Arabidopsis thaliana: one gene and its partners. Each later gene encodes a partner of the first gene's protein in a complex. Each region holds a gene or a part of one and is shown on either strand. Other genes may lie near its edges.

Region 1 (5,120 bases):
CAAAAAGATAATGTTGTTAATAAAGCCATGAATGAGCCATGAATGAGCCATGAAGGATTCAAAACTATGATTCATAAAATACTGCCACAGAATCCAAACCTCGTATGTATCCCCCTTCTCCAGAATCTTCACGTAATGGACCTGTAAAACACCACCCTCAGACAGAATTGTCCGTGCAGTACTTCCAGCAGATCCTTCTGGAATGGCAGAATTCATTGCAGCTTCTGACACCTTGAGGCTAAAATTTGGGGTGGAGTTTGAAGGTGACAGGGCCTTCATTCTAGCTTGAAGAGATTCATATTGAGGTCGAGGCTCACCCATTCCATTACGGCTTCTTACTCCAGACCTTTTATCACTTGCCATCAGTTCTGCTAATGATCTCAGATCCAGAGTTCCTTTCAAGTAAAATTCTTCCACATGAATGTCTGAAAAGCTCGGTAAGTTTAATGATGCCACCAGCTTGTCATAACTTGGGGGGATTTTGTAGATGACACCATCACCAATGTCCAAATACGAAGGTTCATATGCTATCCTGCAAATGATGCAAAATTCAACGTGTCAATCTAGGAAACCCAACACCGTAAGTTATCTAAGCGGATTACACAGGGTTACACGGATCCCATGGAACATGAAAAAACATATGATCAACATACTTGGGTGTAATATCACGATCATGGTAGCTTCCTCGCCTATGTGGGGTCACATCAGCTGCAAAATTTGGAGAGTTGTCCATGTCATAGAACCTCCCATGGTAATCATTCCCTGGTTTCCTACCTCTGTAACTGCCCACATTGCTCTTTAGCACCGGAAAACCCATCAGATGAGGAGGATTCCCTTGAGTCTCCTTGGACCTATTTTTGAATTTTTGTACATGCTCCCCAAGCATTGATCGGTAGTGCTCCTCAGTAACATGTTGATTGTAGAGATCATCATCGTCCTCTGCATCCTCAGCTTCTGTCCACCGCTTTCTCTTCTTGGAGCTCGCATTCATTCTCGATTTAGACCCATTGCTGTAGTTTGCCACTACCCCACCTTTAACCATTACCAACCATATAGACAGAACACAGATAAACGTCACTTAAAACTATCACAGTAGGTGGCAAAAGTAATTCCATAAAACCAATTAAAAACTGTACCTTGAGTGCTTCTACTTTCATCCTGGCTACTACTCCCATAATAATCAACTTCATCTTCAGGTTTCGGAATTCTAAACTTCATCAACGGCTGCAAGAATGAAGAATTTAGCCACAAAACCCACACTGAATTTCAACAGTAAAACAAAAACACACTGTAGAAACAAGGAGAAGCTATACAATTGCAAGATTTCCAATCACCAAAACTACATTCATCACAGTCACATGATCATCATCCAACAAGTACAAACCATCAATTTCAAGGAAATCACAAAAAAATTGAGACCTAACAGACCTCGAGATCGAATAGATTCGCGTAAGGAGAGTCCTTCGGTGGTCGTCTTGAAGGATCCATGAGAGACGGGAAGAGAATAACACGGCGTCAAAATTTTGGAGAGTCTTAATCCTTAAAAGCTTCTAGACAGAAACATTCGTCACGAGAAAGAAAAAGAGTTCGTCTCGAAGAAGAACCCTAATCCAGTATGATAGAGGAAGAGGGCGAAAGGTTAAAGACGAACATGCGCAAGTTAGTGGACACAGGCGGTACAGAAAGAAGTCCAGACTACTAACATACGCCAAACGAATAAAGCTTCTTACCGTGCGCCTCTCCACAAAAAACATTTAATTATTATTTTTTCTTAACCCCTCCGGTACCGGCCGATCAGATAACGACGGCTAAGTTATCGTTTTGGAGATAAAAATACCTTGTGGGGTAAACAACAATATATAAGAAGTAAAGGGGCGAATTTATAAATATTGAAAGCTCATATTCGAGAAAACCCTAATTTCAATATACAGGATTTTTTACCTCGTCGTCTCTGAAACTTCATCTCTGCCGTCTTAAGAAGATTTTGCCAGTGCGGGAAGCGGCGGAGATTGAGAGATTAGCGACGATGGAGGAAAGCAAACAGAACTATGACCTGACGCCACTAATAGCGCCTAACCTGGACAGACACTTGGTGTTTCCTATATTCGAGTTCCTTCAAGAGCGTCAGCTTTACCCTGATGAGCAGATCCTGAAGTCTAAAATCCAGCTTTTGAACCAGACGAACATGGTTGATTACGCCATGGATATTCACAAGAGTCTCTACCACACTGAAGACGCTCCTCAAGGTATTCTTGTGTATTCCTCTCTGGATATGTCTGTGAATTTGCGTTTTTGTGTACTGGTTTGTTTGTTTGATGATGAATGTTGAAATTTGTGGTGATAGAAATGGTGGAGAGAAGAACAGAGGTTGTCGCTAGGCTCAAATCTTTGGAGGAGGCTGCTGCACCACTCGTGTCTTTTCTTTTGAACCCTAACGCTGTGCAGGAGCTAAGAGCTGACAAGCAGTACAATCTCCAAATGCTCAAGGAACGCTACCAGGTTGTGATTTGGATGATTAAGTTGTTTAATTTTGTGAAATGTTATCCAGATTTGGTTTTGTTTGTGTATTGTGGAACACAAATCTTATATGGCTTGGTGTCTTATCAGATTGGTCCAGACCAGATTGAGGCTTTGTACCAGTACGCCAAGTTTCAGTTTGAATGTGGCAACTATTCTGGTGCTGCTGATTATCTTTACCAGTACAGGACCCTGTGCTCTAACCTTGAGAGGAGTTTGAGTGCCTTGTGGGGAAAGCTCGCATCTGAAATATTGATGCAAAACTGGGATATTGCTCTTGAAGAGCTTAACCGTCTCAAAGAGATTATTGACTCAAAGGTTAGTATTTAAAACTTCTTCTAGTTTGCGACCTTTGAAATCAATATAGATGTGAGAGTATATATGCTAACTACCATTTGTTTTTTCAGAGTTTTTCATCGCCGTTAAACCAGGTGCAGAACAGGATTTGGTTGATGCATTGGGGTCTGTATATCTTTTTTAACCATGATAATGGAAGGACACAGATCATTGATCTTTTTAACCAAGACAAGTAAGCCTCTACCTCTCTGTTATCTGCATCTCTTCTTTATACCTTTCATCACCATCTATTTCCTTGCGTTTTAAGATAAGCATGATCTAGATGCGATGAAGTTATGTATAGGTGGTGTTTGTGTGTAGAACTTTGTTTATAGTTAATGTTAGTCCTGATGTGCCTACAAGTAATTAGCAGTCACTAGTTTTAGAGTCTTCTCCTTCTTTTCATCCAGACCTATTCTTAAGATTGTGCTTTGTGTATGGGCATTTGCTGAAAAATAATTCACTTTGTTTTCATGCTGCAGTTCTGTATACTAATTTGATTTACTTTTTCAGGTATCTGAATGCCATCCAAACTAGTGCTCCACACTTGCTGCGCTACTTGGCAACTGCTTTCATTGTCAACAAAAGGAGAAGACCACAATTGAAAGAATTCATTAAGGTCATTCAGCAAGAGCACTACTCCTACAAAGATCCAATTATCGAGTTCCTGGCATGTGTGTTTGTCAATTATGACTTTGATGGGGCTCAAAAGAAGATGAAAGAGTGTGAAGAGGTAACTCATCCACATGTATAGATATTTTTGTTTGTGCAGAACTGTGCAATCAATACTCTGACATTTTAACATGATGTAGGTCATTGTGAATGATCCATTCCTTGGCAAGCGAGTTGAGGATGGAAACTTTTCAACTGTACCACTGAGAGATGAATTTCTTGAAAATGCCCGCCTATTCGTCTTTGAAACCTATTGCAAAATTCATCAAAGGATTGACATGGGGTAAGTTCTCACATTTGGTTGTATATGTTTACACATAACTCTGCTCTCCGGATTGCTCAATGTTTGGAATTTTCTCTATTCCTTATCTTTCCCAACACATGAAAATTGCCATATCCAGCTATTTAAGTTGAGAAGAATTGTTGCGGTCTTGTGGTTTAACTTTGTACTCATGTCGAGCCTATATTTCCCTTGTCAGGGTACTTGCTGAAAAATTGAATCTGAACTATGAGGAGGCCGAGAGATGGATTGTGAACCTAATCCGCACCTCAAAGCTTGATGCCAAGATTGATTCTGAGTCAGGAACTGTAATCATGGAGCCTACTCAGCCCAACGTGTAAGTAGAATAAGCTTAAATCTATGATATCATTCGTATTCTACAATCTAATCTTGTTTCCGCTTTATGCAGGCATGAGCAGTTGATAAACCACACCAAAGGCTTATCAGGACGAACATACAAGTTAGTGAATCAGCTCTTGGAACACACACAGGCGCAAGCAACTCGCTAGTCAAAATTTTGCTGTGGAAGCCTTTCCTTGATAAAACTCACCTTCGGTTGACTGGAATTATTTTCTTTTTCTTGCTCTGAGTTCACCTTTTACTTTGAAAAAGATTATTATGGAGTTGTTCTATTTGAAATGTTGGATCCACAGATTGGAACATTTTCCAACCAAATCAGCATTTTGTATCCACCCTAAGCATTTAAAGGTTTTTGCAAGCCAACGTAAATTACTGCCTTACATTGAGCATCTCTGATTTGCGTAATAGTAAGTACAATAATAGCATATAACAGAAGTAAGAAAAACAAAACTTAAGAGTTAAGACTATGACAGTGGAAAGAACAGGTCACAAACAAAACAAGTATATCAATTCGTAAATAGTATAAAGTTACTCCAGAAGTCCAACTCGCCAGAGTCATCAAAAGAGAGAAGATAAATTCAATTTCTTTGGAGGTGGGTGCCCTCCAGAGAGTACCACATAAGAATAGAAACACAACATGCAATGGAAATGGCATATAGTGTGTTTTGATCTTTCCAGTGGATCTTTTGAAGCGAGTATGAAAATACCATTTACCACTGATGGTCGAGTTACTATAAGCAACATGAAGGACCGTTTGTGTATATCAGAGGGGAAGGACATGAAACAAGAGATATGGTCATTAAACTCTCGCAAGAAATGGGAGAAGACGTATTCGATTGATTTGAATAGAACTTCCATTTGGTGTCGCCGCCATCCGAATTTGCCAACAAAAACAATCACAACATTTCAGAAAAATAAGATTTTGCTTCATAATTGGAAGATAACTGGCCGTACT
Region 2 (4,908 bases), on another chromosome or scaffold:
AGAAATGGAGCCGAGCCATTCAAACACAGGTCAATCAAGATCTGTAGATCGCAAAACGGTTGAGAAAAATAGAAGGATGCAAATGAAGTCTCTCTACTCAGAACTCATCTCTCTTCTTCCTCATCATTCTTCTACGGTTTCTTCCTCTTGGCCCTCTTATATGCTTATATAATCTAAGATTCCATGTATGGGTGATGATCTTAATATTCTAAACTCTTTTATTATTTCATGTTAGGAGCCTTTAACACTACCTGATCAGCTAGATGAAGCTGCAAACTACATCAAGAAGCTACAAGTGAACGTGGAGAAAAAGAGAGAAAGGAAAAGGAACCTCGTTGCGACTACAACTTTGGAGAAACTGAATTCCGTCGGATCTTCATCGGTTTCGTCGAGCGTCGATGTCTCCGTGCCAAGAAAGCTGCCAAAAATCGAGATTCAAGAAACTGGTTCCATTTTTCACATCTTTCTTGTGACAAGCTTGGAACACAAGTTTATGTTTTGTGAGATCATTCGTGTTCTCACCGAGGAATTAGGAGCTGAGATCACTCATGCTGGATACTCCATTGTTGATGATGCTGTCTTCCACACCCTTCACTGCAAGGTATAATTCGGAAAGTAAAACATTTTTTGCAATGGAATTTAAGAATCAAACTTTGCTACTACTACTATGTTAAAACTAGGTCTAATCCAGCTTGTATACACATTGGGAATGAGTTCAAAGTTAGGGAATGATATTTATACTTGTTGTTTTTATATTTAATAAAACTTGCACTCAAAAACGCTAAGAAGCTGCATGTTCCCATCTGATTGTTAAGTTTCTACTAGCTGATTCCTATTAATATCCATATGTTAGTAAACTAAATTTAATTTATATTTTATATAGGTGGAAGAACACGATTATGGAGCTAGGAGTCAAATTCCTGAAAGACTGGAGAAGATTGTGAACAGTGTTCACTAATATTGATTCCTTGTTCCTTTATTAAAAAAAAAAGTTCTATGTTTTTGTTCCTTTTCTTGAATTATTTTTGGTGTTAGCTAGATTCCTTTTCTTGAATTGTATCATGTGCTGTGAGAGTGATGTTTCATTTGTAAGCATAATATATACTTTTCTCTACTTAAAGCTGTGAAATATATTTTGTTTTTTGGTATCAACAAAGCTGTGAAATATATGAAACTTAGGATGATGATTTTCAAGAACGAAACCAAAAAAAAAAGTTTCTTAGAATTAATACATGAACGAGCGAAATAACTTCACCTTTTTTCAATGTGTTATACTTGCCCAAGCATTTGTAATCTAGTGATAGGAGAAACTTTGGTGATAGGTGAAACTCTCAGATCCGAGTTTGAATATCCCGTGGTATTAGTTAGAAAACATTTAAATTCGGGACAGATAGTGTTGTGGTCCTTCGGGAAAAGTTTACTTCGGAGCACTTTGGTGCGTTTCTATCGAAGCTGACCAGATCAGCAAATAGAGTTTATCAAAAAAAAATGTGTTATACTATTTCAAATTGATGAATTTGAATTCTAAATTTTTATTTTATTTTATTTTTTTCTCAAAGTCAGAAATGAAAAACATGATTTAAGACTTCAAGTGTTATATATGGGTTTTGAAGAATACTAAAGCCCATGAGCCCAAACATTAACAAAAATGTTTTTTTCTTGTACCTTCTCTCTTCAACGTAGACTAAAGAATTAGGGTTTCCGCTTTCCACACACACAGCTGCAACACTATCTTCTCAGAAATGGTAACCGAAGCTTTCGAATTCGTCGCCGTTCCTTTCAATTCCGATGGCTGGGGACCTCCAGACGCTTCCGACGTTTCCTCCTCCGCCTCTCCCACCAGCGTCGCCGCCGCTAATCTTCTCCCGAACGTTCCTTTCGCTTCCTTCTCCCGTTCCGATAAGCTCGGCCGTGTAGCTGATTGGACTCGCAATCTCTCTAATCCATCCGCTCGTCCTAACACCGGATCCAAATCAGATCCGTCTGCAGTTTTCGATTTCTCCGCTTTCGCAATCGACGAAGGCTTCGGTCTCGCTTCCTCCGGTGGTAATCCCGACGAAGACGCAGCTTTCCGTCTCGTCGACGGTAAACCTCCGCCGCGTCCTAAATTCGGACCTAAATGGCGTTTCAATCCTCACCACAATCGGAATCAGCTTCCTCAACGGCGAGATGAAGAAGTTGAAGCTAAGAAGCGTGATGCTGAGAAGGAACGAGCTCGTCGTGATCGTCTCTACAATAACAACCGTAACAACATCCATCACCAACGCCGTGAAGCTGCCGCTTTCAAATCATCCGTTGATATTCAGCCGGAGTGGAACATGCTTGAGCAGATCCCTTTCTCAACATTCTCGAAGCTCTCGTACACAGTTCAAGAACCAGAAGATCTTCTTCTCTGTGGTGGCCTTGAGTACTACAACCGCCTTTTCGATCGCATAACGCCGAAAAACGAACGCAGACTCGAGCGTTTCAAGAACAGGAACTTCTTCAAAGTCACTACTAGTGATGATCCTGTGATTAGGCGTTTAGCTAAGGAAGACAAAGCTACTGTTTTCGCTACTGATGCTATATTAGCTGCTCTTATGTGTGCTCCTAGATCTGTTTACTCTTGGGATATTGTTATTCAACGTGTTGGTAACAAACTGTTCTTTGACAAGAGAGATGGATCACAGCTTGATTTGTTGTCTGTGCATGAGACATCTCAAGAGCCATTGCCTGAGTCTAAAGATGATATCAATTCTGCTCATTCTCTAGGTGTGGAAGCTGCTTACATCAATCAGAACTTTTCGCAGCAGGTTTTGGTTAGAGATGGAAAGAAGGAAACTTTTGATGAAGCCAATCCATTTGCTAATGAAGGTGAAGAGATTGCTTCTGTTGCTTATAGGTATAGAAGGTGGAAGCTTGATGATAATATGCATCTTGTTGCGAGGTGTGAGTTACAGAGTGTTGCTGATCTCAACAACCAAAGGTCGTTTCTTACTTTGAATGCTCTTAACGAGTTTGATCCTAAGTACTCTGGTGTTGATTGGAGACAGAAGCTTGAAACTCAGAGAGGTGCGGTTTTAGCTACAGAATTGAAGAACAATGGAAATAAGTTGGCTAAATGGACTGCACAAGCTTTATTGGCTAATGCTGATATGATGAAGATTGGTTTTGTCTCTAGGGTTCATCCTCGTGATCATTTCAACCATGTTATATTATCTGTTTTGGGGTATAAGCCGAAGGATTTCGCTGGACAGATTAATCTCAACACTTCTAACATGTGGGGGATTGTGAAATCCATAGTTGATCTGTGTATGAAACTAAGCGAAGGGAAGTATGTTCTTGTGAAGGATCCATCGAAGCCTCAAGTGAGGATTTATGAGGTTCCACCTGATGCTTTCGAGAATGATTACGTTGAGGAACCGTTGCCTGAAGATGAACAGGTTCAGCCAACTGAGGAAAACACAGAGGGAGCAGAAGCAAGTGTAGCTGCAACTAAAGAAACCGAGGAGAAGAAAGCTGATGATGCTCAAGCTTGATGGTTATAAAGTCAGGTAGTTCATACAAACAACTCTCAAATTCAAAAGGCGGTTACCATAATATGCTTGTTGGATTTGATTGAACACTTGTTTAGGATCGTGAATTTATACTTAGAACCCAAGAAAATGCAGAAAGTTGGTTCTTACTTCTTAGCCATAGAATCTTGTTCTTATTCATCTGAATTTCATTCTTATAGTTTAGAAACTGGTGACTTAGATTAATTGATGATCTTTATTATAAGTATAAACGTCGTATGAAGCATCGTCATTCACAATTTGGATACTATATTCTTCAGGTCCAAAGTCTACACCTTTCGTTTCTGGGTTCTTTTGAGAGTTGAAGCTTCAATCAAACAACAACAATGGAGGTTCCTTTTTTAATTATCTTGTCCTTTTTCAAATTTTTGTGGTACTGCTGTAATTTTAAGTCAGAAATGAGATTGTAGAACACTATCTTCGTGACATCTTTTGGAAAATCATTACGGATTGTTTACAGAACAGAAATCTTTTTACTATGACTCTTATAGCCACCAAATTTTCTTGAATCATTTTGCATTAGTTTTATAAAATTTGGTATTTTATGGTTCCAACTTTTGTTTGTTTCGGTCGTTTGGCGTATTCTCTTATGAGCTTGATCCTATTGTCCTGGTCGGTTTTTATCTCTGTTAAACTGACATAGATCCTATTGTCCTGGTCGGTTTTAATCTCTGTTAAACCGACATACTTCACATATATTTATTATTATAAACCCCAAATTAGAAAACTCAACCAAAATGGTTTTTACTAAGCATTCAGTTTTTTTTTTTTTTTTTTCATGTTTCCAATAGTAACATCAGATTATTAACTAATAATCGTAGCAACGGCAAAAACCATATCAGAACAGCAGAACAAACATCCCCCAAAAGCCTCCTCTTAAATAGGTTGTCTCTAAACCCTTCAATCTCCAAAACATAATAACATACTCCATTAAGCAAAATCTAATCTCGAAAGAAGAGAAACATGGATACCAACGCAAAAACAATTTTCTTCATGGCTATGTGTTTCATCTATCTATCTTTCCCTAATATTTCACACGCTCATTCTGAAGTCGGTATGATTACTACATCTCTATTGCATTCTAGTAAAATTAATCTTTTGTATCAAAATTCAGATTTAATGATTTGTTATTAACTTTAATCTGAAAACAGACGACGAAACTCCATTTACTTACGAACAAAAAACGGAAAAGGGACCAGAGGGATGGGGCAAAATAAATCCGCACTGGAAAGTTTGTAACACCGGAAGATATCAATCCCCGATCGATCTTACTAACGAAAGAGTCAGTCTTATTCATGATCAAGCATGGACAAGACAATATAAACCAGCTCCGGCTGTAATTACAAACAGAGGC
Region 3 (7,351 bases), on another chromosome or scaffold:
TGTTTTTGATAATTTATTTAAGAAACTAACACTATAATATACAAAATGTAGAAACTAACACTAGAGGGTAGTAAACTTACTAAATTAGTCTTTTTGATTGGAGATGGTAGTGGTGGTGATGGTTGTGGCCGGCGGTGGTGGATGGAGTTGATGGTGGTCGGAAGTGTTGGTGATCGGTGTGGTGGTTGCCGGCGGTGGTGGTGGTGGCCGGTGGTGGTGGTGGCCGGTGGTGGTGGTGGTGACCGGCGGGGTGATGGTCGGCGGTGGTGGTGGTGGTGGTGGTGGTGGTGGTGGTGACCGGCGGTGGTGGTGGTGGCCGGCGGTGGTGGTGGTGACCGGCGGGGTGATGGTCGGCGGTGGTGGTGGTGGTGGTGGTGGTGGTGGTGGTGACCGGCGGTGGTGGTGGTGGCCGGTGGTGGTGATGGCCGACAGTGGTGGTGGCGGTGGTGGTGGTGGCCGAAGTTGGTGGTGGCCGGAGTTGGTGGTGGCCGGATTTGATGGTGGCCGACAGTGACGGTGACCGGTGTTGGTGGTGACCGGAATAGATGGTGGCCGAAGTTGGCGGTGATGGCCGGCGGTGGTGGCAGGCAGTGGTGGCCGGCGGTGGTGGCAGGCAGTGATGGCCGGCGGTGGTGACCGGTGGTGGTGACCGGTGGTGGCCGGCGGTGGTGACCGGCGGTGGTGGCCGGCGGTGGTGGCCAGCGGTGGTGGTTGCTACTGAAGGTATTGAGGCAACAAGGGCAAATTGAGTAATATTACATATAATACAGAGAATATTATAATTACATAGTTAGGATGGTTAGTTAGTGAATTATAGTTTTTTTGTTAGTTATTTCTGCAAATTTCCCAAAAAAATATATCAATTTCCACTAATTTTTTTTATGTACATGTTGGATTCTAGAAAATCAATGAATTTAACAAAACAAATTCATGATCATCGCACAAATTGGCTAAAATATTGTTGATTTTGGAATTGGATGGAAGGTTAATTGTAGATTATAACGGAATTTAAATTGTTTGAATCTTGGAGTAACTCAAAAATATAGATCAAAATGATTACATATGGCTATGTTCTATTGCAAATCGTGAGCGACAGTTCCGACAAAAAAAATACGTCGATAGTAAAATAATTCAAAAATAATCTGTTATATTAATTTTCCATCACATATTTCCAATGCCTTGCTTAAATATATATTTTGAACTGTATAATGTTCTTATACTCTTGTTACTTACCTAGTATAATTAAGAAAAAAACAGTTAAAAGTAAGCTAACAATCCCTATTTGTAATAGAAAAAATCATATTCAAATTTTCAATTTTTTTATATAAATGCAATAATCATAATTAATTTTTTTTATATGAATTTATAATTGCCCAATTATAAATATTAAAGCGGGTTAACACAATTATACTTTAAAAAAAATTTAATTGAATAACATCAGATTCTATATTACACTTTAAGTCATTAAAACTCTTTTGAAATCATAAACCAATAACACCCTTTTACAGTTGAATTTTTTACCTTTCATGATTTTATGTAAATCAATTGTTTTTTTGAAATGAATTTTTGTAGTGGCATTTTATGTAATATTTAATATGTTGTTGGCTATTTACTTAAATGTATGTTTAGTTAATAATATAGAAATATCAAAGTTAATTGCTAAAAATATTATTAAACAAAATATAGAGAGTATATTGTAAATGATAATTCGAAAATGAAATCCATAAATTTTGTTGATCTCAATTGAATCACATCCCAGTATTAGACAAATTGGGTTTTATAAACACTAAGAAGATAAAACGGGGTCATTTCGAAACCGTAAGAAAATAGGATGATTTCTGCAAATATGGGTAATATATATGTAGAACGATAATATTAATACCAGAAACCCTAGAGTTGCTTCCGCTTCGCTTCTCGTCTCTCTTATCAGTCTTCTCTTTTCACGGCTACAAGGTTAGTCCTAAGTTTCGGCTCTGTTCTTGCATCAGTGATTGGATCTCTACTGCCTTTTAATCAAATCTCATTGAATTGATCTGGGTTAGGGTTTGGGTCAGGTTATCGAATCTTTCTGTGTTATTTTGATTCTATGAAATGAATTTAGGGTTTGGGCAAGTTTTTTCTGGTCTATGTAGCTTCCATCCTTTTCTGAGATATCTGATTGGGTTTTTCGGATTCTGGTGATCTCTGTAACAAAATCGCTTCTCTGTGTTTTTCAGGCTAATTGAGAGTGTCCCTTGCGTTAGAGTTTGTTACTAGCTTTTTTCGTCTGAAACATGGCGAATTTTGCCAAACCAGAGAACGCGTTGAAGCGTGCTGATGGTAAGTTACGAAATGTTTTCGTTTTAACATCCATTTGGTCAAATGGATGTGGTTAGGGTGTGTATGAATTGAGATTGTGTTAAACACTTTTTTTTTGTGTGTGTAGAATTGATCAATGTTGGACAGAAACAAGATGCTCTTCAGGCGCTTCATGATCTCATTACTTCCAAGAGATACAGAGCTTGGCAGAAACCGCTTGAGAAGATCATGTTTAAGTATCTTGATCTTTGTGTTGACTTGAAGAGGGGTCGATTCGCTAAGGATGGATTGATTCAGTATCGTATTGTTTGCCAGCAAGTGAATGTCAGTTCCTTGGAGGAAGTTATCAAGCACTTCCTACATCTTGCTACTGACAAAGCTGAGCAAGCTCGGTCTCAGGCGGATGCCCTTGAGGAGGCTCTTGATGTTGATGACCTTGAAGCTGATAGGAAGCCTGAGGATTTACAGCTAAGTATTGTCAGTGGGGAGAAGGGAAAAGATAGGTCTGACCGTGAGTTGGTCACCCCATGGTTTAAGTTTCTGTGGGAGACATACAGGACAGTCCTTGAGATATTGCGAAACAACTCAAAGTTGGAAGCACTTTATGCGGTTTGTTTTCTTCTAGGTTAAGCTTATTGGTGATACCTCTGATTTTAAGTTGATTGAGATTGAAGACTTGTACTTTATAATCTTGTAGATGACAGCACATAAAGCCTTCCAGTTCTGTAAGCAGTACAAGCGAACAACAGAGTTCCGTAGGCTTTGTGAAATTATAAGAAATCATTTGGCAAACCTGAACAAGTACAGAGACCAAAGGGACCGACCTGACTTATCAGCCCCTGAGAGCTTGCAGCTGTATCTGGACACAAGGTTTGATCAGTTGAAAGTTGCTACTGAGCTTGGACTTTGGCAGGTGCGTTTTTGTTTTCTATGTGTATTTTTCTGATGCTACCTTCTCTATTCCATATTTAGTTTGGCTGTATATAGCTTATCCTCTGTATAATTACTGGAAATAAGTTAGTATGGTTCGTGATGTATCTTTGCAGGAAGCTTTTCGCTCTGTTGAAGATATCTATGGATTAATGTGCATGGTCAAAAAAACGCCCAAGTCATCTTTATTGATGGTTTATTATTCCAAATTGACTGAGATCTTCTGGATTTCTTCTAGCCATCTTTATCATGCTTATGCATGGTTTAAGCTGTTTAGTCTGCAGAAAAATTTCAACAAGAATTTAAGCCAAAAGGATTTGCAGCTAATAGCGTCATCTGTTGTCTTGGCGGCATTGTCCATTCCACCATTTGATCGGGCTCAGAGCGCATCCCATATGGAACTTGAAAATGAGAAAGAACGCAATTTGAGGATGGCTAACCTCATTGGATTCAATCTTGAACCTAAATTTGAGGGCAAAGATATGGTAACATAGGTTCTTATGTTGCTTCATTTTTATTTTGCGCCCTTTCTTTCTGGTTTAGTATTCTAATTCCATTTCCTTCCTGTTTCAGCTTTCCCGGTCAGCTCTTCTGTCAGAGCTGGTGAGTCTCTAGCTGTTACCCTGTCTGTGGTTTAGAATATTTGTCGACTTACAAATATCTGATTTGGAGGCTGATTTTTATGCAATTAGGTTTCAAAAGGTGTTTTGAGCTGTGCATCTCAGGAGGTCAAAGATCTTTTCCATGTTTTGGAGCATGAATTTCACCCACTTGATCTTGGCTCCAAGATTCAGCCTTTGCTGGAAAAGATTTCCAAATCTGGTGGGAAACTGTCCTCAGCTCCTTCTTTACCAGAAGTGCAACTTTCCCAATATGTTCCTTCTCTGGAGAAGCTTGCTACTCTGAGGCTACTTCAACAGGTAAGCCTTGTTCTCTATGTTGTAGGTCAATACCCATTCAACCATTTTGGATTTTTCTGGTGGTTTATCCCTTTTTCTGCATACTAAATGTTCTATGTTCCGATTTTATTTTCAGGTGTCTAAGATTTATCAGACAATAAGAATTGAGAGTTTATCTCAGTTGGTACCCTTCTTTCAATTCTCAGAGGTAGAGAAGATTTCTGTTGATGCTGTGAAGAACAATTTTGTTGCCATGAAAGTTGATCACATGAAGGGTGTTGTAATTTTTGGAAATTTGGTAAGCCTCTGTTAAAGCTTCAGCTCAACACTGATTATATCATATGTAGTTGAGTAATATAATTTTTAACTTATTGACTAAATACTAATCTATTTGATCAACTGTTTGTATATTAGGGTATTGAGTCTGATGGACTGAGGGATCATCTGGCTGTTTTTGCCGAGTCTTTGAGCAAAGTAAGAGCTATGCTGTATCCTGTCCCAAGTAAAGCATCAAAACTAGCTGGCGTTATACCAAATTTAGCAGATACTGTTGAGAAAGAGCACAAAAGACTGCTTGCTCGTAAATCAATCATTGAAAAGAGGAAGGAGGATCAAGAGCGTCAGCAACTAGAAATGGTAGTTACTTTTCCATGGTTATTTGCACAGCTCTCCTTTTACGCTGTACCTGTTTATGAAAATTCCTTTATTTGATGTTTACTTTTGAAGGAACGTGAAGAGGAGCAGAAACGGCTTAAGCTTCAGAAGCTAACTGAAGAGGCAGAACAAAAGAGACTTGCAGCAGAGCTTGCAGAGAGAAGAAAACAAAGAATCCTTAGAGAGATAGAGGAGAAGGAGCTTGAAGAAGCCCAAGCTTTACTGGAAGAGACAGAGAAGCGCATGAAAAAGGGAAAGAAGAAGCCACTTTTAGACGGAGTAAGTTTACCAATATGTTAGCTATTATATAGTTCACTGATTAACTTATTACTAATGTCGGTTGGGTTAAACTAAATATAGGAGAAGGTGACAAAGCAATCTGTGAAGGAAAGGGCCTTAACTGAGCAGCTCAAGGAAAGGCAAGAAATGGAGAAGAAGCTTCAAAAGCTTGCCAAAACGATGGATTATTTGGAAAGAGCAAAGAGAGAAGAGGCTGCTCCATTGATTGAAGCTGCATATCAGCGAAGACTGGTAGAGGAAAGAGAGTTTTATGAGCGTGAACAACAGGTACTTACTGTTTCAGTAGTTTTTCTTTTCTTACAACTTGGTTCTGTGTTGGAAGTATATGAGGTCTTAAAAGCTCTTCTCCTATGCAGCGTGAAGTTGAACTCAGTAAAGAGCGTCATGAGAGTGACTTGAAGGAGAAGAACAGGTTGTCCAGAATGTTGGGTAATAAGGTCAGTCTTTGACATGTCATGTTGTTTCTCTTAATGTTCATCTTTGATCTGAATCTCTTTTCGTTATTGAATTAATTTTAAAGCTCTCTAGTTTCTTACATTTTTCCTGTAACTTTTCCTTCCAATGTACTTATAATCGAATCTTTCTGTGCCCAGGAAATATTCCAAGCACAAGTGATTAGTCGTCGACAAGCAGAGTTTGACAGAATCAGGACGGAGAGAGAGGAGCGTATCAGTAAAATAATCCGAGAGAAGAAGCAAGAAAGGGATATCAAGAGGAAGCAGATATATTATTTGAAAATTGAAGAAGAAAGGATTAGGAAGCTGCAGGAAGAAGAGGAAGCTCGCAAGCAGGAAGGTGTGGACTTGCTTCCATAAATCCACATCATTTTGACTTTGATATTGAAGTTTTTCTTAATAACCCCTTGTTTCTGTTTATTTTTTGGGTTTTCCTCTAATGTAGAAGCTGAGAGGCTCAAGAAGGTAGAAGCTGAACGCAAAGCAAACTTGGATAAAGCTTTTGAGAAGCAAAGGCAGAGAGAGATAGAGCTGGAAGAGAAAAGTAGGCGGGAACGAGAAGAGCTGTTGAGAGGAACTAATGCACCACCTGCTCGCCTTGCAGAGCCTACTGTTACTCCTGTTGGAACTACCGCACCAGCAGCAGCAGCAGCAGCAGCAGGAGCACCAGCAGCACCTTATGTTCCGAAGTGGAAGCGCCAGACTACTGAGGTCTCAGGCCCATCAGCACCAACATCATCAGAAACTGACCGACGGTCCAACCGTGGGCCGCCTCCCGGAGATGACCACTGGGGAAGCAACAGAGGAGCCGCTCAGAATACTGACCGGTGGACTAGTAATAGGGAAAGATCTGGACCTCCAGCTGAAGGAGGAGACCGTTGGGGTTCTGGTCCTAGAGGCAGTGATGATCGCCGATCCACATTTGGAAGCTCCAGGCCCAGGCCAACACAGCGTTGAGTAATAATAATTTTTTTGGTCTCAATCTCCATGGGAATGAATGAAAAAGGTTATCTCTGGATTTTCAACATCACAGCACTCTTCTTTAGCCCAAACCTGTCTCTTCTTCTTTTGAAGATTGCTCATCTTTTATAAGTTTTTATGAAAGATTTTAAAACATGTTAGACTCGTTTTTTGCTCTACACACCCAGAGAGAGTTGTTATTTCCTTCTTCGGTTGGATCTTTCTTTGTTTGTCCAATTTATTTCCAACTTTCTGCTGTAAAAACCTTTGACATTGATCAGCTTCTCTTTCAAGCAAACTTTTTGTTAATTGCTTATTATTAGTTTATGAAGAACAATAAACGAATACCAAATTTCACATTTAACAACATTTGTATCAAAAATGTAAATAGTGTATACAAACATCTTTATTCTTATCTCTGGATTAAGGAAGAAAACAAATGAAACTGTAATTAATACTTTTATACGAGATTCTTCAGTGCCTTGTTTTGAGAACAGAGCATGGGCACATTGCAAAAGCTCTCGGAAAAAGAAATTTTATAATTGGTCAACTTTACTAGGGTGTGTGTTTGATCATCAGCTAGCGTTGGTTTGGTTGAGATTAGACTTTAATTTTGTGGTACAGAAGATAGAAACAAAACAAACATGTGGCCTTTTTGGTGGAAAGGAGCATCTGGGTTCTCTGCTCGTTCCACAGCTGAAGAAGTCACTCATGGAATCGATGGTACTGGTCTCACTGCTATCGTCACAGGTCCTCTTCTTCTTCTTCTTCTTCTTCTTCTTCTTCTTCTTCGTGCAGATGTTTTCAACTTTTTTATGATCTATGTTCAGTCTATAGTTTAATTTCTTGGTTTTG
Region 4 (6,331 bases), on another chromosome or scaffold:
AAATCCTAAAATCATGAGCACAGAGGATCTAAAAGTAAAACCCTAAAACCAAGTTACAGTATCTAATATCTATGTAACACATATGAAAGCTGTTTCAAGTCTACAACGAAAAAACCCATATACAAACAATAACATGATTTTCTGAAAAGTGGCTAATACCTCGAGGCGGTGCTCTATTATGAGGTTCCAGCGTACTCACTGAACTGCGGGGTGATTTTGTCCCAAAGGCCTGTGCATAAGTTTCATCAAACTCCTCAAACACTGACTTGCGGAAAGCAAAAACCACTGCTTTCTTCTTCATAAACTTTAAACTGTCTGGATCACACTCTTGAGGTGCTAACGCCAATTGCTTCACAAACGAAATGGTTTCAGCGGGTAAAAACTTATCCCTAGAATTCTTAATCTGATCAACAGAGTAAACGGCTTGAAGCTCGTAATCAGGCACATCAACAGCAAAGTAATCTTCCACATTACTAGGCCTAAAGTTATAAGGATTCCGACATTTACAAGTCAAACCAAGAGCTGACCTTCTACTCGCCTCATCCTTGGCTTCCTCCACAGCTCTCACAAAATGCTTCGAAACCGTCTGCTGTGATTTCTCCTCTAAATTCGGTTCGAAAGGAATAAGCTCAGCAGGATCAAACCAACCATAACTACTATCACCGAAAAACGCAACAAGAACATGATCAATCCTCCTCATACGACGAACAGAAGGAGACGCAAAAGCTTCATTGAATATATGACCAGGCCACCAAGGATGAGACTTTACCTTTCCCCAAACCAAATCTCCAACTTCAAACCCATAACTCAATGCCCTCGAAACTCCAGAACCCATTTTCTCACTTGCAACATAATCATCAAACTCAGATAAAAGAGATTTATAATCCGAAACTCCTTTTTTCTCTTCCTTCAAACCCAAATCTAATTCCTTCTCATCAGCTTCAGAACCAAGCTCACTAGATTGATCATCAGAGCCATCTTCTTCTTCTTCTTCTTCTTTAACCTCAGAACTCTCATCATCCTTATCAATTAAAACATCCTCGCTTTTAATCTCATCTTCCTCCTCACTCCCTACGACACCATCTTTCTCCGATCTCTCACTTTCGAGAACCCTAGCGTCATTTGTAACCGCCGAATCTAGCTCCATAGGTGAAGAAGCTTCAACATCATCATCAATGGCTTCGTGAACATCCCCGCTCGAATCAACTACAGTATCATCTGGAGTTACCTTAGGATCCTGAATCGAATCCGTTTGTTGAACAATCACAGCATCCTCGTTCATCACCGGGATTAATTTAGTTTTGTACATTACAAATCGATAAGAACCCTAGCAACAACAACAACGATCCTCCGATGAGAGATTATCCGAATTTGGTTCTCGAGGACACCAAATGAAAGAGACGGATTATTGTTAAAAAAAAAAAAAAGCTAATCGAGAGAAAGACAATAAATTAGATCTACTGATTACTATTGAATTGGGCTTACCCGGCCCATATAAATATTTATAAGCCCGTTTAAGGAACCGACGTCGTATGATCCAAAAAGACCTGAAAACAATCGCTCCTTCTTCCTCACCTTCAAGCGCCGTCTTCTTCTTTGTTTTTTGCTCTCGGCTGATCTCTGTATTGGGTACGTTTCTTATCTCGATTTCAGTGTTCATTTGTTTTTTTTGTCTTTTCTTATGTAGCTATGAGACAGGATCCAGAACGATGCAATAGATATAAGAGAGCCTTCAGGAAAATTTTGCCATTTTTCTCCATTTCACCTGTTGTTGGGTTCTAGATTAAATAAAACTAGAGTATAGTTAATAATTTCTATAGGCATGGTTTTAGATTTACATTATAGTGGGAGTGATGATTCAAAGTTTTAGTCTTTGAACATTTGGCCATGGTAGTTTGTTGTTTTAATACTTGTTTAGGGTTAACAAAAAACCTACTTTTAGATCTAAAGACTCAGATTTTTCACATTTATTTATCGACTTAAAGTTGGAATGTGTTAAAGACTGATAGCTCTCTCTATATGGCTTTCTTTGGCAGATTTTTGATATAAGGTTTGAAATCATGGAGGTCGTTGATATTGATGCCCGAGCTGCTAAGTTAGGGATTGATTGGTCTCAGGTTAATTTTGATTCCATCCAACTTCCTCCTGGAGAAGACTTTGGGATCGAGAGGTGAGATTTTCCTTTAGATCTCTGGTTGTTCATATACGGTCACTTCTATTTCTAATCTTCTTGTGTTTATACGATGGGATGATTTTATTCTAGGTTTTGCTATTGTATGTATGAAAATTTTGTGTATTTCGAATTGGTTTATCTCTTTCCTTGATGGTGCAAAGCTTATTATATTTATACATTTTATCTATGAACGTATGAAAAATGGAACTGATTCGTTATACACTTTTTTTTTCTGTGATGGTTGTAGTGATGATGAAGCTGTTTACCAGGATGACCAGTCTGAATTCGACACTGGATTCGGTAACATTATCGTGGTCGATCACCTCCCTGTTGTTCCCAAGGAGAAGTTTGAGAAACTTGAAGGTGTTGTCAAGAAAATTTACAACCAGTTAGGTGTGATTAAGGAAAATGGACTGTGGATGCCTGTTGATCCCGATACCAAGATGACATTGGGCTACTGTTTTATTGAGTTCAACACTCCTCAGGTTATTTATCTACTTGATTAGCTTAATCTCTGTTTTGTTGGATTCTGAAGCAATAATGTCGGCGTCATATGTTTCAATACTTTATTTCTCTTGTTAGAAAGGAGCCCAAACTAGGTTGTTCTTAATGGTTGAGTATTTCCTAAGAGTTTCTCTCAATGTCTGGGGCTCTTTGCAGGAAGCACAAAACGCTAAGGAAAAGTCTCATGGCTACAAGTTGGACAAGTCTCACATCTTTGCTGTAAACATGTTCGATGATTTTGACAGGTTGATGAATGTGAAGGAGGAGTGGGAGCCTCCTCAGGCCAGGCCCTACGTCCCTGGGGTATGTGTAGTTTTCATCATGTTACTCCCTGTACCTTGAATAATTTTCTTTGAATAACTTCCATTGTGTCTGTGTAATCACTTCTTTATTTTGGTAATTCGCTGATTTATTTTGTGTTTGCCTGCTGCGTTAGGGTTAGGATCTTTTTACGTAATTGATGTATACTAACTAATAACTATAATTTCATAACTCTTGTTTCATGTATATATTTTAATTCATTGCAGCCTTTTGTGGTGCTAATTGTCGTTACTTATATGGTGTTTGTTTTTTCAGGAAAATTTGCAAAAATGGCTTACTGATGAAAAAGCCCGAGACCAGCTAGTCATTCGTTCTGGCCCTGATACTGAAGTTTTCTGGAATGATACTAGGCAGAAGGCGCCTGAACCTGTTCATAAGCGTCCTGTAAGTTACTTCCTGTGTGTATATCCCTTTTGTTTACTTGACTGTTTAGAGCAATGTATATGTTATGTTACCTTCATTTGAATTAATATCCCTTATTTGTTTACTTGACTGTTTAGAGCACTTTTATATGTTATGTTACCTTCATTTGAATTAATGATGTTCTCTTCCTATGCAGTATTGGACAGAGAGTTATGTGCAGTGGTCTCCTTTAGGTACATACCTTGTGACACTCCACAAGCAGGGGGCAGCTGTTTGGGGTGGTGCTGATACATTCACGCGTCTCATGCGTTATCAGCATTCTATGGTTTGAATTTCCTTTCAATTGCTACATATTACTTCCGTTTTTCCTCTGTTGGCCTGAAAATTGCATCTTTTGTTGATTATGTTTTAGGTAAAACTAGTTGATTTCTCGCCAGGTGAGAAATATCTTGTAACTTACCATAGCCAAGAACCAAGCAACCCGCGAGATGCAAGTGTGAGTGCATCTTTTCTTCTGTTCTTTTCAACTTTTACTATTTGTGACGCTGAATTCTGTCAAACTTTCAGAAAGTTGAGATTAAGGTTTTTGATGTGAGAACCGGGAGGATGATGAGAGATTTCAAGGGTAGTGCTGATGAGTTTTCAATTGGAGGACCTGGTGGTGTTGCTGGTGCCTCTTGGCCTGTTTTCAGGTAATTCTTTCAACTGCATGTCAATGTCCTAAAAATAAACAGCCAATATTATCATCTTCTCCACTATTATGGACATATGTTGATATCTTGTAAACTTTTTCTACAGATGGGCTGGTGGAAAAGATGATAAATACTTTGCCAAGCTTAGCAAAAACACTATCTCTGTCTATGAGACTGAGACTTTCAGCCTAATAGACAAGAAATCCATGAAGGTAGATAATGTTGTGGATATCTGCTGGTCTCCTACTGATTCCATCCTTTCATTGTTTGTTCCTGAACAAGGTGGTGGAAACCAACCTGCGAAGGTATGTTTCTATTATTTCTGATGTACATGAAAAGCTCTGAATCCTTAATTTGCTTCTGTTTCTCTGCCTGGTGTTTTGAAATTACATGTTGATATCCCTTCTTCAGGTTGCCCTAGTCCAAATCCCGAGCAAGGTGGAGCTGAGGCAGAAGAATCTCTTCAGTGTGAGCGACTGCAAGATGTACTGGCAGAGTAGTGGAGAGTATCTTGCTGTCAAGGTTGATCGATACACAAAAACTAAGAAGAGCACATACTCTGGATTTGAACTTTTCCGTATCAAAGAAAGGGATATTCCCATCGAGGTTCTTGAGCTGGACAACAAGAACGACAAGATCATTGCTTTTGCATGGGAGCCCAAGGGTCACAGGTTTGCTGTGATTCATGGTGACCAACCAAGACCAGATGTCAGTTTCTACTCAATGAAGACCGCACAAAACACTGGAAGGGTTTCAAAGCTCGCAACTTTGAAGGCCAAACAAGCTAATGCCCTCTTCTGGTCGCCCACAGGCAAGTACATAATTCTTGCTGGGTTAAAAGGTTTCAATGGCCAGCTTGAATTTTTCAACGTGGATGAGCTCGAGACAATGGCCACAGCTGAACACTTCATGGCCACGGATATCGAATGGGACCCGACTGGAAGGTCCTACTGTCTTAACTAAACCAGTCCTTTGGTTGTTTCTATTTGTTCCAATTGCTGATGTTGTTTGCACTTTTTTATTTTCAAAGGTACGTTGCAACCGCAGTGACATCAGTCCATGAGATGGAGAATGGGTTCACCATATGGTCTTTCAACGGGATTATGCTTTACCGGATATTGAAGGATCATTTCTTCCAGGTATGTAACAAGAAAAACTCGGTCTTAAACGAGCATCGTCCATTCCGATGTCTAATAAAATATTTGTGTATGGTTGGTTACACAGTTGGCTTGGCGTCCAAGACCTCCATCATTCTTGACTGCAGAGAAGGAAGAAGAGATAGCAAAGACCCTGAAGAAGTACAGCAAGAAGTATGAGGCAGAGGATCAGGACGTGTCGTTGCTGTTGAGTGAACAAGACAGAGAGAAGAGAAAGGCATTGAAGGAAGAATGGGAGAAATGGGTAATGCAGTGGAAGTCTCTGCATGAAGAGGAGAAACTCGTGAGGCAAAACCTTCGGGATGGTGAAGTAAGTGATGTGGAAGAAGATGAATATGAAGCCAAAGAAGTTGAGTTTGAGGATCTTATCGATGTCACTGAGGAAATCGTTCAAGAGTCGTAAGATACTCGGTCTCTTTTGTTGCCATCTCTTTGGATCCCTTAGACAATTTTAAATCGTGTTCGCTATACTTGGAAGATAATTTTTGGTTCCTTCATGATTGAAAATTTCGTTGTTAGTTGATGAAGTATGGTGCTTATCACATGTAATGGTACTAAATGGTAGAAAAATTACCAATACAATATAGCTTGTAGTGTAACATAATTACACACAAATCGGTAGAGCTTATATAGAAACTGAATCTTCAAATGGCAACTCATCAATCATACTGTAGTAGAAACAACTATAGACCTTATTTTCACTAGTAACAATGCGGAGACGCTAAAAATTGTCTATACTGTATTTCTCTCTTTTTCTTTCTTTCTAAAAGTAAATACTGATATTGGTAATGACAAAAAAGAGTTACCCGAAAAAAAGTTTCATGGGCACTCATGTTTTAGGCGGAGGAGTTCCAGCGAGCCAACCCCAGACGCCACCAGAGCTTTGTCGTTTGGCGTTCATGGTGGCGGCTTGTTCAGACGCAACGGCTCTTTGACGTTGGAGGAGTTCGAGTTCCTTTTGAAGTGTTTCCATTGTCTGAAGCTTTTGTCTTAGCTCTGCAACTTCAACCTGCGGGCACTTAGACCGAGTTTTGTTAGGATTTGGTCAACATCGGAGAGGAATGTTTCACCATCGAGATTCAAATATCAACCCAGACTTACTATAAAAGTGAAACAAAATG

The links.
Region 2: EIF3E (region 1) and AT4G20980 share a complex: the UniProt entries of both Arabidopsis thaliana proteins name them as parts of the eukaryotic translation initiation factor 3 (eIF-3) complex.
Region 3: EIF3E (region 1) and EIF3A share a complex: the UniProt entries of both Arabidopsis thaliana proteins name them as parts of the eukaryotic translation initiation factor 3 (eIF-3) complex.
Region 4: EIF3E (region 1) and TIF3B1 share a complex: the UniProt entries of both Arabidopsis thaliana proteins name them as parts of the eukaryotic translation initiation factor 3 (eIF-3) complex.

The regions. Positions count from the first base shown.
Region 1 is NC_003074.8:21,195,980-21,201,099, reverse strand, and holds EIF3E (eukaryotic translation initiation factor 3E), read left to right. Parts: upstream 1-1,780; 5' UTR 1,781-2,026; coding exon 2,027-2,246; intron 2,247-2,344; coding exon 2,345-2,499; intron 2,500-2,607; coding exon 2,608-2,835; intron 2,836-2,924; coding exon 2,925-3,046; intron 3,047-3,366; coding exon 3,367-3,586; intron 3,587-3,665; coding exon 3,666-3,808; intron 3,809-4,004; coding exon 4,005-4,142; intron 4,143-4,214; coding exon 4,215-4,314; 3' UTR 4,315-4,583; downstream 4,584-5,120. Other genes in the region: INO80 (DNA helicase INO80-like protein), read right to left, coding at 100-532, 654-1,032, 1,137-1,224, 1,429-1,488. UniProt on the Arabidopsis thaliana protein: Component of the eukaryotic translation initiation factor 3 (eIF-3) complex, which is involved in protein synthesis of a specialized repertoire of mRNAs and, together with other initiation factors, stimulates binding of mRNA and methionyl-tRNAi to the 40S ribosome.
Region 2 is NC_003075.7:11,215,255-11,220,162, forward strand, and holds AT4G20980 (Eukaryotic translation initiation factor 3 subunit 7 (eIF-3)), read left to right. Parts: upstream 1-1,626; 5' UTR 1,627-1,742; coding exon 1,743-3,518; 3' UTR 3,519-3,533; exon of another isoform or gene 3,534-3,814; 3' UTR 3,815-3,924; exon of another isoform or gene 3,925-4,126; intron 4,127-4,313; 3' UTR 4,314-4,384; downstream 4,385-4,908. Other genes in the region: AT4G20970 (basic helix-loop-helix (bHLH) DNA-binding superfamily protein), read left to right, coding at 5-136, 236-601, 884-958; ACA4 (alpha carbonic anhydrase 4), read left to right, coding at 4,518-4,608, 4,706-4,908. UniProt on the Arabidopsis thaliana protein: mRNA cap-binding component of the eukaryotic translation initiation factor 3 (eIF-3) complex, which is involved in protein synthesis of a specialized repertoire of mRNAs and, together with other initiation factors, stimulates binding of mRNA and methionyl-tRNAi to the 40S ribosome.
Region 3 is NC_003075.7:6,946,976-6,954,326, reverse strand, and holds EIF3A (eukaryotic translation initiation factor 3A), read left to right. Parts: upstream 1-1,847; 5' UTR 1,848-1,953; intron 1,954-2,216; 5' UTR 2,217-2,273; coding exon 2,274-2,319; intron 2,320-2,425; coding exon 2,426-2,907; intron 2,908-2,995; coding exon 2,996-3,211; intron 3,212-3,344; coding exon 3,345-3,713; intron 3,714-3,801; coding exon 3,802-3,831; intron 3,832-3,920; coding exon 3,921-4,148; intron 4,149-4,263; coding exon 4,264-4,425; intron 4,426-4,541; coding exon 4,542-4,763; intron 4,764-4,853; coding exon 4,854-5,060; intron 5,061-5,141; coding exon 5,142-5,348; intron 5,349-5,437; coding exon 5,438-5,518; intron 5,519-5,674; coding exon 5,675-5,876; intron 5,877-5,981; coding exon 5,982-6,493; 3' UTR 6,494-6,851; downstream 6,852-7,351. Other genes in the region: AT4G11430 (hydroxyproline-rich glycoprotein family protein), read right to left, coding at 85-714, 1,499-1,528; AT4G11410 (NAD(P)-binding Rossmann-fold superfamily protein), read left to right, coding at 7,141-7,246. UniProt on the Arabidopsis thaliana protein: RNA-binding component of the eukaryotic translation initiation factor 3 (eIF-3) complex, which is involved in protein synthesis of a specialized repertoire of mRNAs and, together with other initiation factors, stimulates binding of mRNA and methionyl-tRNAi to the 40S ribosome.
Region 4 is NC_003076.8:9,780,489-9,786,819, reverse strand, and holds TIF3B1 (translation initiation factor 3B1), read left to right. Parts: upstream 1-1,531; 5' UTR 1,532-1,629; intron 1,630-1,644; exon of another isoform or gene 1,645-2,036; 5' UTR 2,037-2,060; coding exon 2,061-2,170; intron 2,171-2,420; coding exon 2,421-2,658; intron 2,659-2,755; coding exon 2,756-2,980; intron 2,981-3,253; coding exon 3,254-3,382; intron 3,383-3,557; coding exon 3,558-3,686; intron 3,687-3,773; coding exon 3,774-3,857; intron 3,858-3,928; coding exon 3,929-4,053; intron 4,054-4,159; coding exon 4,160-4,358; intron 4,359-4,464; coding exon 4,465-4,997; intron 4,998-5,083; coding exon 5,084-5,192; intron 5,193-5,277; coding exon 5,278-5,613; 3' UTR 5,614-5,810; downstream 5,811-6,331. Other genes in the region: AT5G27650 (Tudor/PWWP/MBT superfamily protein), read right to left, coding at 160-1,309; ACBP5 (acyl-CoA binding protein 5), read right to left, coding at 6,040-6,219. UniProt on the Arabidopsis thaliana protein: RNA-binding component of the eukaryotic translation initiation factor 3 (eIF-3) complex, which is involved in protein synthesis of a specialized repertoire of mRNAs and, together with other initiation factors, stimulates binding of mRNA and methionyl-tRNAi to the 40S ribosome.